2 linked regions of the Caenorhabditis elegans genome follow. The protein of the gene in region 2 interacts with the protein of the main gene of each other region in a pairwise test. Each region holds a gene or a part of one and is shown on either strand. Other genes may lie near its edges.

What was found. The genes of interacting proteins can lie anywhere in the genome.
Region 1: the proteins of lin-31 (region 2) and sma-3 interact in a two-hybrid assay, tested with the Caenorhabditis elegans proteins (one study listed by BioGRID).

What each region holds. Positions count from the first base shown.
Region 1 is NC_003281.10:6,860,193-6,865,675, reverse strand, and holds sma-3 (Dwarfin sma-3), read left to right. Parts: upstream 1-1,707; 5' UTR 1,708-1,712; coding exon 1,713-1,851; intron 1,852-2,309; coding exon 2,310-2,401; intron 2,402-2,527; coding exon 2,528-2,602; intron 2,603-2,651; coding exon 2,652-2,740; intron 2,741-2,798; coding exon 2,799-2,863; intron 2,864-2,980; coding exon 2,981-3,066; intron 3,067-3,113; coding exon 3,114-3,209; intron 3,210-3,253; coding exon 3,254-3,312; intron 3,313-3,634; coding exon 3,635-3,887; intron 3,888-3,949; coding exon 3,950-4,030; intron 4,031-4,122; coding exon 4,123-4,203; intron 4,204-4,519; coding exon 4,520-4,585; 3' UTR 4,586-4,702; downstream 4,703-5,483. Other genes in the region: cra-1 (N-terminal acetyltransferase B complex subunit NAA25 homolog), read left to right, coding at 55-162. UniProt on the Caenorhabditis elegans protein: Involved in TGF-beta pathway. Plays a role in male tail tip morphogenesis.
Region 2 is NC_003280.10:3,980,492-3,987,753, reverse strand, and holds lin-31 (Protein lin-31), read right to left. Parts: upstream 5,206-7,262; 5' UTR 5,101-5,205; coding exon 4,934-5,100; intron 4,300-4,933; coding exon 4,218-4,299; intron 3,882-4,217; coding exon 3,801-3,881; intron 3,426-3,800; exon of another isoform or gene 3,234-3,425; intron 1,671-3,233; coding exon 1,287-1,670; 3' UTR 725-1,286; downstream 1-724. Other genes in the region: K10G6.5 (Serpentine receptor class gamma), read right to left, coding at 158-216. UniProt on the Caenorhabditis elegans protein: Lin-31 regulates how vulval precursor cells choose their fate. It helps specify three alternative cell fates in vulval development.

The sequences.
Region 1 (5,483 bases), on a different chromosome or scaffold from region 2:
TATTTATACATATATGTAGAGTTTAAACCTAATTTCAACACCTAAATATTTCAGGCTAAAGCTGCATTAGAAGGTATGCATAATCCAGTTGCTTCTCGCCTTCAAAGATCTTTTCTCAATACATGTGAAGATATGCACACAACTATCAAATTAAGATTCTAATTTTTTTGTTTCAGAATATTTAGACGTTGTTTTTTGTTCATCTAGGCTCCTTATTTTTTAGGCTCCTTATTTATTAATTTGTTCTTTTTTTTTTCAAATTTGTAGTAGCTCCCCGAATTGTTTGTCCCCATCTCTAAACATAATCATTTGAGTTCATCATCGTTGGATCTCTACAGATCAATCTTTCGCCTTTTCTTTCTTCCCCCGATGACGTTTTTCTTCCTCCAAAATACCGATTTCAACTGTTTTTATTTCGCCCTCTCACTATGTTCATGTTTTTGAAAGAATAAATTGCTCTCTGACTTTTTTTTTTTTTCTTGCTAACTGTGTCCCCAACCATCCTTTGTCCCCTGTTCCCTCTTCATTCTATTTCAACGAGCGGTCACCGATGTGACCAATAAGCGCAAAGGCACTAAGAAATTGGGAAAATTGAGAGAGGGTTGCGCCATGAAGAGACGCAAAGATTAACACAAGGGCACATTTACCTTTATTCTACCTACATCTATCCCCCAACACAACGGACACTATTTTATATCGGTTGCAGGGCGTGGGGAAAGGTCACCACCAACACTGCCCCAGTCTGATGTGATTCCATCCGGGTTTCGCAAATACTTTTTCAATTTCACGTTATTCAACATTTTTATGATAGAAATTCATTTTGAGCAAATGACATAAACAACATGAGATCATAGTGACAATGTTTTCAAATCCATATATTTTTTCGAGATGATTAAAGGTGGAGTAGTGCCAGTGGGGAAAGTGTTAAAAACTATTCCTATGGTGCCAAAAAGACCGAATATCATAATTAAACCTTTCAAAATTTTTTTTGAAATTTTTTATTTTATGTCAAAGAGTGGCAACTATTATATGTGTATTTAAACAAAATTCCCACTGGCGCTACAGTACTCTGCCTTTAAATGGAGTATTGCCAGTGGGAATTTCTACTCGAAAAGTCCATGAACGAATATCATAATAAAAACTTCGATTAAAAAAAAAAGTTTTGAATAGTTTTAGTAAAGTGACAAATTTTCGTGAAATCTGGAATTTTTTGGACAATTCACTACAATGTTGAAATAGAAATATTCGAAAAATAATTAAAATGTAATATATATGGAAATCTTCTCTGATCAGAAAAGAAAATAACATTTTGGCATTCTTCCAAAATGTGAGAACTTGCCACGTTTTGTCTGGAACATCCCTCATCCCAACTCAAATTGTTCAATTAAAAAGAACGGTGTCATGTCATGAAAAAAGAATTTAAAAGTGCAAACAAAAGAACGATTCATTTTTGTTTTCTTTGTGTTCATCTTCATTTTCTCAGTCTCTCTTTACCTCCTCCGCCTTCCCTGTTATCACTTATCATCTCATCATTTCCTTTACTCAAACATTCACTTTTAGCCTTGTTTCTCTCTTTCTCTCATTCATTTTCCGCTCAGTTTACCCACTTTTTTTGTTTCTGTTACCTGTTACTATTTCTTATCGCGCAAAACAAAAATCGATAATAATTATTGAATTAGTTTTTTTGAAATGAGAGCAAAATTTCAGTCAAAATGAACGGATTACTGCATATGCATGGTCCAGCTGTCAAAAAGCTTTTAGGTTGGAAAATTGGAGAAGACGAAGAAAAATGGTGTGAGAAGGCTGTTGAGGCATTGGTGAAAAAATTAAAAAAGAAAAATAATGGATGTGGTTAGTCAAATATATTTTTTAAAGGAATTTATAATAATTTAGGGAGGGACATTTCTGAAAAAGGGTCTCGACGCGCTTATGAAAGTTTCAAAACTATTTTTGTGATTACCTTTAAATTTACAGTAGAAATATTTGAGCCTCCTTCCTCTTAGTCTAATTTTTCTTACGATTTCTTATGATTTTCATTTTTTTTAACTTGCAAAAAACTATAAAAACAGTAAGAAGAAAGCACCAAAAAACAAACTTAACATTTTCGAATGTATTCGAAAATACTATTGGCGCGGCGAGACCCATCCGAATGTTAAGCATATTGTTACGGATACAATATAATATTATGATTAACATTTTCCGATGACCCTTTTCGATTCATGAATCAAAGTGCACCTTATTTATAAGTTAGATCATAAATATTAAAAAAAAAGAAATTCAACCGATCCATTTCAAATTCTAAATTCCAGGAACCCTCGAAGATCTGGAATGTGTTCTAGCAAACCCATGTACAAACTCAAGATGCATTACGATAGCAAAAAGTTTAGACGGTCGGTTACAGGTATGTGGCGCCGTTGTGGTTGCTTAACGTAAATTTGTTCGCTAATCAGACAACTGTGATAACTTTCAAAAATAACACTTTGGTTTGAAATAACGACTTTTTGACGCCAAACTTCCGGCTTTTCAGGTATCCCATAAGAAAGGTCTTCCACATGTGATTTACTGTCGAGTATGGCGGTGGCCGGATATAAGTTCTCCTCATGTAAGTTAATTGGATATATTAATTTGAAATTTTTGAATGTTCATTTCAGGAATTACGTTCAATTGATACATGCTCCTACCCATATGAATCTAGTTCCAAAACCATGTACATCTGCATTAATCCATATCACTATCAGAGGTTTGTTCTGAAAGTTGTTTAAAATTGGAATACATTTCAAAAATGAATAAAATTCCAGATTATCACGACCACAAGGCTTAAATTCTTCAATGCCATCACCACAACCAATATCATCTCCAAACAGTAAGCGTTGGATCTAAAAATTGTTTAAACATATCAGAATCTTCTATTAAAAAAAAACAACTAAACTCTCTTTAAAATTCTCTAGGGAAATTAAATGAAAAATACATAAAATTGCAGCTATCTGGCAGTCTAGTGGAAGCTCAACGGCATCTTGTGCAAGCTCGCCGAGCCCGTCGGTTTTTTCAGAAGATGGAGGAGAAGTGGTTAGTTTTTTTGCAATACACATTTTTGCAAAAATTATAATTTTCAGCAAGTTCACCAGCGACCTCCACCGTTCCGTCATCCCAAATCCTGGGCCCAAATTACGTATTTTGAGTTGAATTCGAGAGTTGGAGAAGTTTTTAAAGTGAGGTTTTGATTTTTCAAAACAAAACAAAATTGGAGTTTCAGCTAGTGAATCTGAGCATTACAGTCGACGGATATACTAATCCATCAAATTCAAATACAAGGTAAGATTTTGAAAGACATTCGAAAGTAGAAATAAATTGATTTTAAAAGTGAAAAAACCAAAAAATAATTAGTTTTTTTCGATTTCGGTCGGACTTCTAAAAAATGTTCTTACAAAATATAAATATTATTAGTTTGATTTAAATTTCCTCCATTAATACGGTATAATACATATCTTCTCTATAATATTATCATAGTTATTAAAAAGTGGACACTTCGAGTTAATTAACGTGAAAATTGCTGATTCGAAGCTTTAACTTCGAGAAGTTCTGAATAATAATAATTCTTACCGGTTTCTTTATTAAAATAATCCGGAAATTTCAGAATATGTCTTGGACAATTAACCAATGTGAATCGAAATGGAACAATTGAGAACACACGGATGCATATTGGAAAAGGAATTCAGCTTGATAATAAAGAAGATCAAATGCATATTATGATTACAAATAACTCTGATATGCCAGTTTTTGTGCAATCCAAAAATACGAATCTCATGATGAACATGCCACTGGTCAAAGTCTGCCGAATACCACCGCACAGTCAATTATGCGTTTTTGAGTTTAATTTATTTTTTCAAGTGAGGTTTTTAAAATTTAAAATTATTTTCATGCTATTCTTCAACAATTGTCAAAAATTAAGATGTTGGAACAGTCGTGCAACGATAGCGATGGATTGAATGAACTCTCCAAACACTGTTTTATTCGTATTTCTTTTGTAAAGGTTTGTTCTAAATGTTTGAATTCCTTGTAGATTTATACTTGTTAAATTTATCGTGAGATTTTCAAATGAAACTTCGATAAACAAATTTTCAGGGCTGGGGAGAAGATTATCCACGTCAAGACGTCACATCCACGCCTTGCTGGCTTGAACTTCGGCTCAATGTGCCACTGGCTGTAAGTTTTTTTGAGAAGGAATCGTATCTGGAAATTTATCAAATTATCAAAAATATTCTATAAAATTTTTGTACATTTTGTAAATATCATCCAAAATTAAGCCATATTTCTATTTTGGGTACTTTTCCGATTTCTGCCCCCCCAATTTTTTAAGTTCAATATTTCAATTTCAATTCTCACGTGAATGTTTATTTCAATACTAAATAACAAAAAAGTTAACGTTTCATTAATGAATATATCGAAAACATTTTGGGGGCAGAAATCGGAAAAGTACCCTATTTTGTTTGAGTTTTCTGTGAAAATGAAATATTTTCAGTATATCGATCAAAAAATGAAGCAAACTCCAAGGACGAACTTGATGGAACCAAATTCAATGACATAATGATTTGTTAAAAACGCTTTCCTTCTCGCAACCACCTGAATTCAGAATTTACCTACTCTAATGATGATACTTGTAACATGTTTTACATTTGCTGGTTCTTTTTAATTATGAAGATTTCTTTTAATGTTGTCATGTTCTTCGAACATTTACTTAACGAAATTCTCAGAATGATTTCGCAGTTTTTTTCGGTCACGACAAAAACGCCCCCTAATTCTTGGGATTTTTAATTGTTTACTCTGAAAATATGCTCGAAAATTTTGAGCAAATGATTATTTATAACAAATCCAATACGTAAAATTAACTATTAGATCCATTCTGGGAAACGTCCACAGACAGCTCCATAGTTCCAGAGATCGGATGCACCTTCATTTTCTGGATGCTTTACATAGTTGCAGAAGACGTCATTGATCAGCTCACTGCGAGCAGGGAATTGAGAAATTGAGAGTTGAAGGCAAGATTCAATGCTTCTGGAAATCATATTTAAAAAAAAACAACTTGCAACTGTAACTAACTTTTCAAAGATGGTCTGTCCTGGTTCAGTTGCAGACCAGCTTTTCCACATGAAAGTATTATCAGTATGCTTCTCATCAGTAGTGAAACCAGATGATGAATTCCTGCATTCTACAGTAGCCAAAACGGTTTTATCTGTAGTCTCGCAGTTCTTCAAACGATGTCCATCGACAATCATTGATCCACGATCCAATTTCTTTGCAGTAAGGAAATCACGAAGAACAGTGGAAAGTTTGGTACGCTCATCAAAATTTTCAAATGATGTCAGGATTGATCCATCTTTCTCACAAACTTTTTTGGCTTGATTTGGAGAGATGAGAGTATCAGACAAAATTGCCTGAAAAACATTATAGAAAAGAGGCAAGGGGCAGCAATTGAAAAATGTTTT
Region 2 (7,262 bases):
CGACATGCCTACTTACCTACATGCCTGCCTACCTAAACGTTGTCAGTCTACTTTGAGTTAATGGCTGCCTAGATTATCTGCCTGCCTAGGGCCTAGCTGATTTTTGCATATCCACTCAGTTGGTTCTCGTGCCAAGAAATTTCAAAAAGAAACTCACAAAGAAAAAATGTAAAACATAGAGATAGCTACAGTTGCACAAAACGAAAGAAGCATCATCAATGCGACCGCACTGAAGTATGGCGGGTTGTTCTTCAATTAAAGATTAATTCAAGTGAAATAAAGATAAAGATAAATCTAACCAGTAAATCCAGCGGAAAAAGGCTAACTTGATCTACCGTGTCATCTACATTCCATTGTGGCAAAAAAACCGAAATGCCGTTGAAACACCACGAGAATACAATTGAGAAAAATAAAGCAATAAGTAGAGTATTTATACGGTTTTTTTGAATCCATTTTTAAAGAATTTTGAGCGTATGTATAAGAATTCGGACGCTATTCTTATACGCAAATTGTAGGAGGAGTCGTAGTATTTCGACATAACAATTTATCAAATTTCGATTGACTCATCGATATCGTTGCATTCGTATTGTTTGAATATTCTGTAGTCTTTCGGGAAAAATTTGATATGAGAGAGTCACGGTAAATATCAAAGATAACAACAATTACGGCAGCGTTGGAAAAAATTGGCATTTTTAATTGATGTTTCAAGTAAAAAAAATCAAACTAACCACTGGCAACTTTTTCATTATTTGGAGAAAAAAAAACGTTATTTGGTTGTTTATGACTAAAAAGAGCCTGGGAAATTAATAAATATTTTATATTCAATACAAAAAATATTGGGGAACAGAGTACAAGAAGTACTTATCACAAGAAGAAAAATCTAGAAAATCAATAATTTCAAATGTATAGGGACTAGGTTTAGAACAGAATTGACATTCTGAAGTTTAAGCTTCAGAAAAAATCTGAAAAAAGTTAACACCGATGGAAATATTGGGAGCTGGGATGTGTGGAATGTTATCATTGATAATATCAGTTGTTAGTAGGTCCTCCGCTTAGCAGCCGACAGTTTACAGGTTTTGCCCCGTGAAATGTCGGCTGCTAGGTTGGGTTAGTCGGTTAGTTGGTTAACAGAGCGCATTTGCACATTATTGAAATAGAAAATCGAATCTTAAGAAACAAGAAAAGAAAGACAGGATGACAGAAAATGAACAGGAAAATGTGTGGCACAATTTAATGAAAATATTATTTTTTTAATAATTAAAAGGTAGTGAGATGAGCTCAAAAGCTCAAGAGCTCAAAATCGACTCAATACTGAAAGAAGAGTTGAAGCCAGCTTCAGGAGTTGGAGTCTTCGACGATGAAGATCCCGACCCAGAAATCTCCGATGTTTCAGAGTGTGGAGTCGAGCTCTCAAAATTCGAAGAATTTTTCAAGAAATGGGGCATTAAAAGTAGGGAAAGAGGGTTCAGAAGCAACGATTTTGTAGGATCCATGCCTGGAGGAAACAGGCAGAAATTTGGGAGTGATGGTGGAAGATTTGGGAAAAGGGAGGAGAGGAGTGGTGGGGTTATTGGGGGCTCCGGGAGCAGTGGAAGAGGATTTTTGCGAGAGATTTTCGATGGAGCCGGGTGGTGGAAGTCGTCGTCGTCGTCGTCTTGGCCGCCGCGAGCCTGAAATTGAATTTTTTAAATATTTTTTAAAACTGTGTTTAAAAAACGTTCAACTTTTACAGCAAAATTTTATGATTCAATTTTAGAAAATGCACTATTACCAGTACAGATAGTGTAGATAGTTGAAGAGACAGAGACATCCCGGGACCCAAAGGACGGGGCGCGGAAAAAGCCGATTTGTGTCGATTTACGAAATTCTAGAAACGAGGAAAACTGTAAATCGACGTAAATCAGCTCTTCCCGAGCACCGCCCCGAAAAAGTCTGCGTCTCTTCTCCAGCATTCTTTGTAGATCAAACCGAACTGAAACACTTTGACACCACATGCCGGTAGTAATTTAAAAGGTACCTTACAGTTATGCCTTTCAAATTTGCAGCACTTCTATAATTCATCTCTTAAAGTACATATACTAATAAATCAGGCACCTGACAAACATTGACACCTCGCTCCACCACCTAAATATCTAAATTCAAACCGCATCAATCTTTGTCTTGCCTCTTCTTTCCCCTCCAAGTGATTAGTCCTCCCCTCCTCGCCCCAAGGCCATTTAATCTACCGTACTACCTAAAACATTGCGCGAAATGGAATGAACCATAGGCAAAGAGAATCACTTTTGTTTCCAATCCGTCTTATGTACATGTACAAGTGATACAGTTATATGTATATGTGTCACATATTAGCTAGCGCCCCGCGACAGCCCTTCTTTTTCGGCGGGGGACCCCCCGCTGGACAGCCTGACTGTCATTTTAATGGGCTTGTGGTTGGAGGACAGACTGTATGGAGGATTTGATATTTGGAACAGTACATTGGAACAGAATTATACCTGTTTGCATAGTCATGTCCCCGTTCTTCCTACCTACATGCCTAAGTGCTTGCCTACAGCCTTATATTTCAATAGGTGTAGAGTTCCCAAGCCGAATAGTTGAAAAAAATTTAAAGTTATGTGCAAACCCCGCTCACCCCACTCAAACAAACTCTTGCAACTTCTTATTACTTTTTCTTTGTCCTCTTTTCTAACTACTTCATCATACACACACAGACACAAGTCACTCATTTTCATTTCAACATAACACTACAATATTGGATAGGAGGCATCTGTTGCCCCCCCCCGTAGAAGTAGTAGGAGTACAACTATTGCAACAGATGGCACATTTTATTGGGTAGTACCGGGAGGAGAGTATTTCGCGCGCGTAAGTCAATTCATCTTAATATGACTGTTTAATTGTATTGAGTAAAATTGAGTGAAAATTGAAAATATTTTGGGGGGGGGGGGGGGGGGCGAGGTTAATTACCCTATGTAGATAAACGTTTCAAAACCATTTTGATAAAAAATTTTTGTCAAATTTAAAACTTTGCAGAATGATTTGAAAATTGCAGGTCAGTACCAAAACCACAGTGCCGAAGCTTCCTATTCTCCGAAGGCATTTGCGATTTCTGAAAGTTCCAACTCTGCAATTTTTTAAGAATTTTGTACATTCTCAAAGTTGCGCAATTTCGGCTGAACCAAATACACAGGTACTCTTCATTGCCTAATCTTAAGCATAAGTCTAAGCCTAAGCCAGAACCTAAGCTTTACCCTAAGCCTAACCCTGAGCCTGAACCTAAGCCTAAGCCTAATCCTAAGCCGGAGCCTAAGCCTAAGCCTAAGCCTAAGCCTAAGCAATAGGCTAAGCCTGAACCTAAGTCTGAACCTGAGCCTAAGCCTAAACCTAACCCTGAGACTGAGCCTAAGACTAAGCCTAAGCCTAAGCCTAAACCTAAATTTAAGCCTAAGCCTGCGCATAGCCACACTATCTTAAATATTTGTTCACAGTCTTCCCTTTAAACTACAGTACCCCACATCAAAATCTGCAAAGTCTTATCCAATCCTGCAGCCGTTCATCATAATCTCTTCCCCCAATAGTCTCTCAATCGTATTTAAAACAAATTTCTCGCCTTTTCTGTCATCGACCAACCTTGAGGATTACTGTAGAATTGTCTTTCTCTCTCAAAATCGTGAAGGGGGAAGCACGCGCGCGCCCTCTCTAAATCAATTTTTCGTTTTTTTTTGTTGGAGATTTTTGCGTTTCTCTTTGAAGTGATAAGATCATTAATTTACACAATTTGATAAGTACAGTAACCGAAGACTTACCCGAAATCGTTTCCGACGCCGTAAGCAGCTGCCGTTCTCGAACATTCCGGAGGCATTTGGGTGCACCGCCCAGTAGGAGCCCTGGAATTTTTTACGGTGTTTTTTTTTCGGAAATTTAGAAAAAAAATTATCACAGGATTTAACATGGAAATTGCAGAATGAGCAAAAAGTGTTGCAGATTTACTTTAGCTCTAAGGACTACGGTAGTTGTTTTGTTGGTTCTATAAAGTGAGCATGTGCTCATTGAGGGCAAAAGAGCACAAAAAGAGAGCAAACGAGTTCTTGGAAAAACCCATATATAGTATGTAACTTTTTTTTGCTAGAAATTCATCTTTGAAAATTGCAAATTGTTTAGGTTTTTAAAAATTAAATTAATAACTTCGGAAATTTTATTTTTTTTTAAATTACAAATATTACCTTCCCAGGACGATCGGCTCTTCTTGGGATCTTGATGAAGCAGTCGTTGAATGACAAGTTGTGTCGCAGGGAGTTTTGCCACCTGAAAACATTACATTTTGAGCTGATTTTTATCTTTTTTTCTGAAATGTTGAAACTAATGAATACACTTTTTGAGTTTTTTAGAGAATTTTTCTGTTTGTTTTAAAGGAAATTTCATATATTTTTAAGTCACTTTAACTATAAAAAAATCAAGAGAAAACTTCGAAAATATATTTCTAGGACTTTTTTTTGTTTAAAACATTGAAAATTGCATATTTTTGAACCCAATAATTTTTCTTATAAAAGTGGGGAAACTACAAGAACTAATCTATAAAAGTGAGAAAAAACCCCAAAATAAACCGGACTGAAAACTATGAAATTTGGAGTTTTTGAGCATATTTTGTATATTTTTTCAAAGCAAAATAACTATGGAAATACAAATATCGAAATTTCAGAAAAAAAACATTTCAATCTTCAAAGCTCTGTTAAAACGCAAAATCAGTCACAAAGGGAAACTTCAATGTCAGATTTTTTTGTTAAATTTAACTTGAAAATTTTTCACAAAATGGCCTTAAAAAATGGATTCTTGGAAAAATTGACAAAACCCCCCTTTTTTGGGTTTCAGTAACACAGGAATTTTAGAAAAACTAGAAATTTTCTTAGAGCTCAAAAACTTTCAAACCCCCAACTCATACCTCTGCGTGTTTTTCCTATAAAACGGAAACCGATCCATAATATATTTGTAGATCTCCGTGAGCGGGAGCATTTTATCGTCAGAGTCCTGAATAGCCATATAGGTGAGCCAAATGTACGAGTACGGTGGCTTCTGCTCATCGTACGAGTCTTTTCCGGGTCTTGGCATTTTTCAGGGAATATGTATAGAGTTTTGCTTGGATTGATAATTAATAAAGAAGGTTTTGGAATATATCAAAATATATTGAAATCTTAGCGATTGGGAAAAGTCAATTTGTTTGAGAAGCCAAGCCTTAGAAGGAGAAGAAGGGCGGAGCGTTGAGTGGGCGGGGCTGGCCAACGGGGAGACAGCGCTTACCGAGACCGCCCGTAAGGGAAAAAGGCAACAACTTGTAATAAGGAAAATGACAACACATTTCTAATAGAAAAATAAGTCTTTGTTTTACATTCACATCACTAACCTATATTTGGGAGGAACCAGTTACTCCTGTTGCTGGTGCTGCTGCTGACCGGGTATCACGCAGCCCCCGCTGAGTTGGGGCATCTGGTGTGGGACGGGATTCACTGGAATACTGAAGATGAAAGAGTTGATTGTGTTTTTTTTTGAAAATGTAGGTAAACTGGTATCAGACCACCCGAGAACTGTCACGACTTGTTTGAAATTTTGAGTGACACCGAGAGCGGTAGGGGGGAAGCGTTCGAATTAACGGGATTAGTCCATGGAATGGTGGGGTGTCTAGGTGGGAAGAATTAGTGTCAATATTTGAATTTTTGTTGGACAATTTTAAAATCATGAGAATTACTAAAATATTCAAATATTTGGGTCACCTGGAGAGCCTAGAGCACGCTTCAACTTCAAACGCTCATAACTCTGCGGTTACCTGAGATATCAAAAAACTGTCAACTGATTAAATATTGGTCATAAAATTTTGCACATTTTGTTAATTGACAACTTTTTTATATCAAAAATATTTGTGGAGTTATAACGGATTAAAGTTTGGAGACCACCTAGTGAAAAAGTACGGTAGTTTGGGTTTTCTGCAACAAGAAAAATAATTTAAAAAGCATAGAAAATGTTGAATTATTATGCATTCGAAAAAAGTTTTGGTGAACATTTTCTACAAAAAAATGTATACCAAATGAAAAAGAAACTAGAAAACCTCAGTAGAAAATTTCACTACAATGATTTAGAGAAATCTTAAAATCTTAAAATCCAACTCTGAAAGGATGTTTTCAGCTAGTTTTTTTCAAAGCTCCATTTTTTGCAAGTTTTCCTCATTTTCTAATTCCATATTCTCGAGAGTACACTAACCCCATTGTCCTTATTCACCCCCCTCCCAGTTAGATATTCCATTTGACACTTCACCACTTTTTTGGAACAATTTCACTCATAAATTCCGTAAAGTTTCTCATCGTCACCACCACCACCATAATTTAATGAATGAATAAAGTAATATATATAATAGTAGTAGAGACACCCATTCTCATCACCTAATATTCTTCTCCATAAATTGTTATTACCTACCGTACTCTCGGTTTAAAAAAATTGTATGTGGGAGAATCAAAAAAGGGTAGTGATTATTCTAATTAAATATGACTGGGTTTGTCTCGGGACAAAGATTTTATAAATGAGATTTGGGATAAATGATCAATGGGGAGCTAAAGGGACCTTTAGGGCGCAGCGAGTCGTAATCAGAAAATTTAAATCAACTCCCGGGGGCTCGAACTCATGACCGTTTGCTTCAAAGTCGTCCCTCTTAGCCACTGCGCCACTTGGTACGGCGCCCTAAGAAAACGGCGCCACGGATGGCTCAGTGGGTAAGAGCAATGCCTTTGGAGCAAAAGGTCAAGGGATCGAGTCCCCGTGAAAAGGTTTAGGTTTTGAATACCGCTGATTTCAAATTTTTTACTTGAAAACTCTAAAAACACACGTAAAACGTGATACTTCGTAATTATGTTGATAAAAATCAATTTTCTTACAAATTTACAATGTTCTAAATCAGCTCAGCAACTTCGAAGACAGACCAGTAAAGACAAAACGAAGACATCAAAATAGAAGAAAAAAGAACCAGTTGTCCTTACGGAAGAATAAAAACCGCAATGCCATCCACCAGTTAATCAAAAACGGTTTCCTCCTCCTCCTCCTCCCGTCAATCTCCTTCATAAAGGACATCTCTTCCCCACTGCCTGCCTGGGGAGAGCGCGGCAAAAATCGCGGCATTTTTTGGATCAAAGGTGCCGCTCGATCGCACGGTTGACTGCAGACGGTGCGGCGCCGCTGGCCACACCACCGCTCCTCGTGCCATATTTAGAAGCTCGGTTCATTAAACC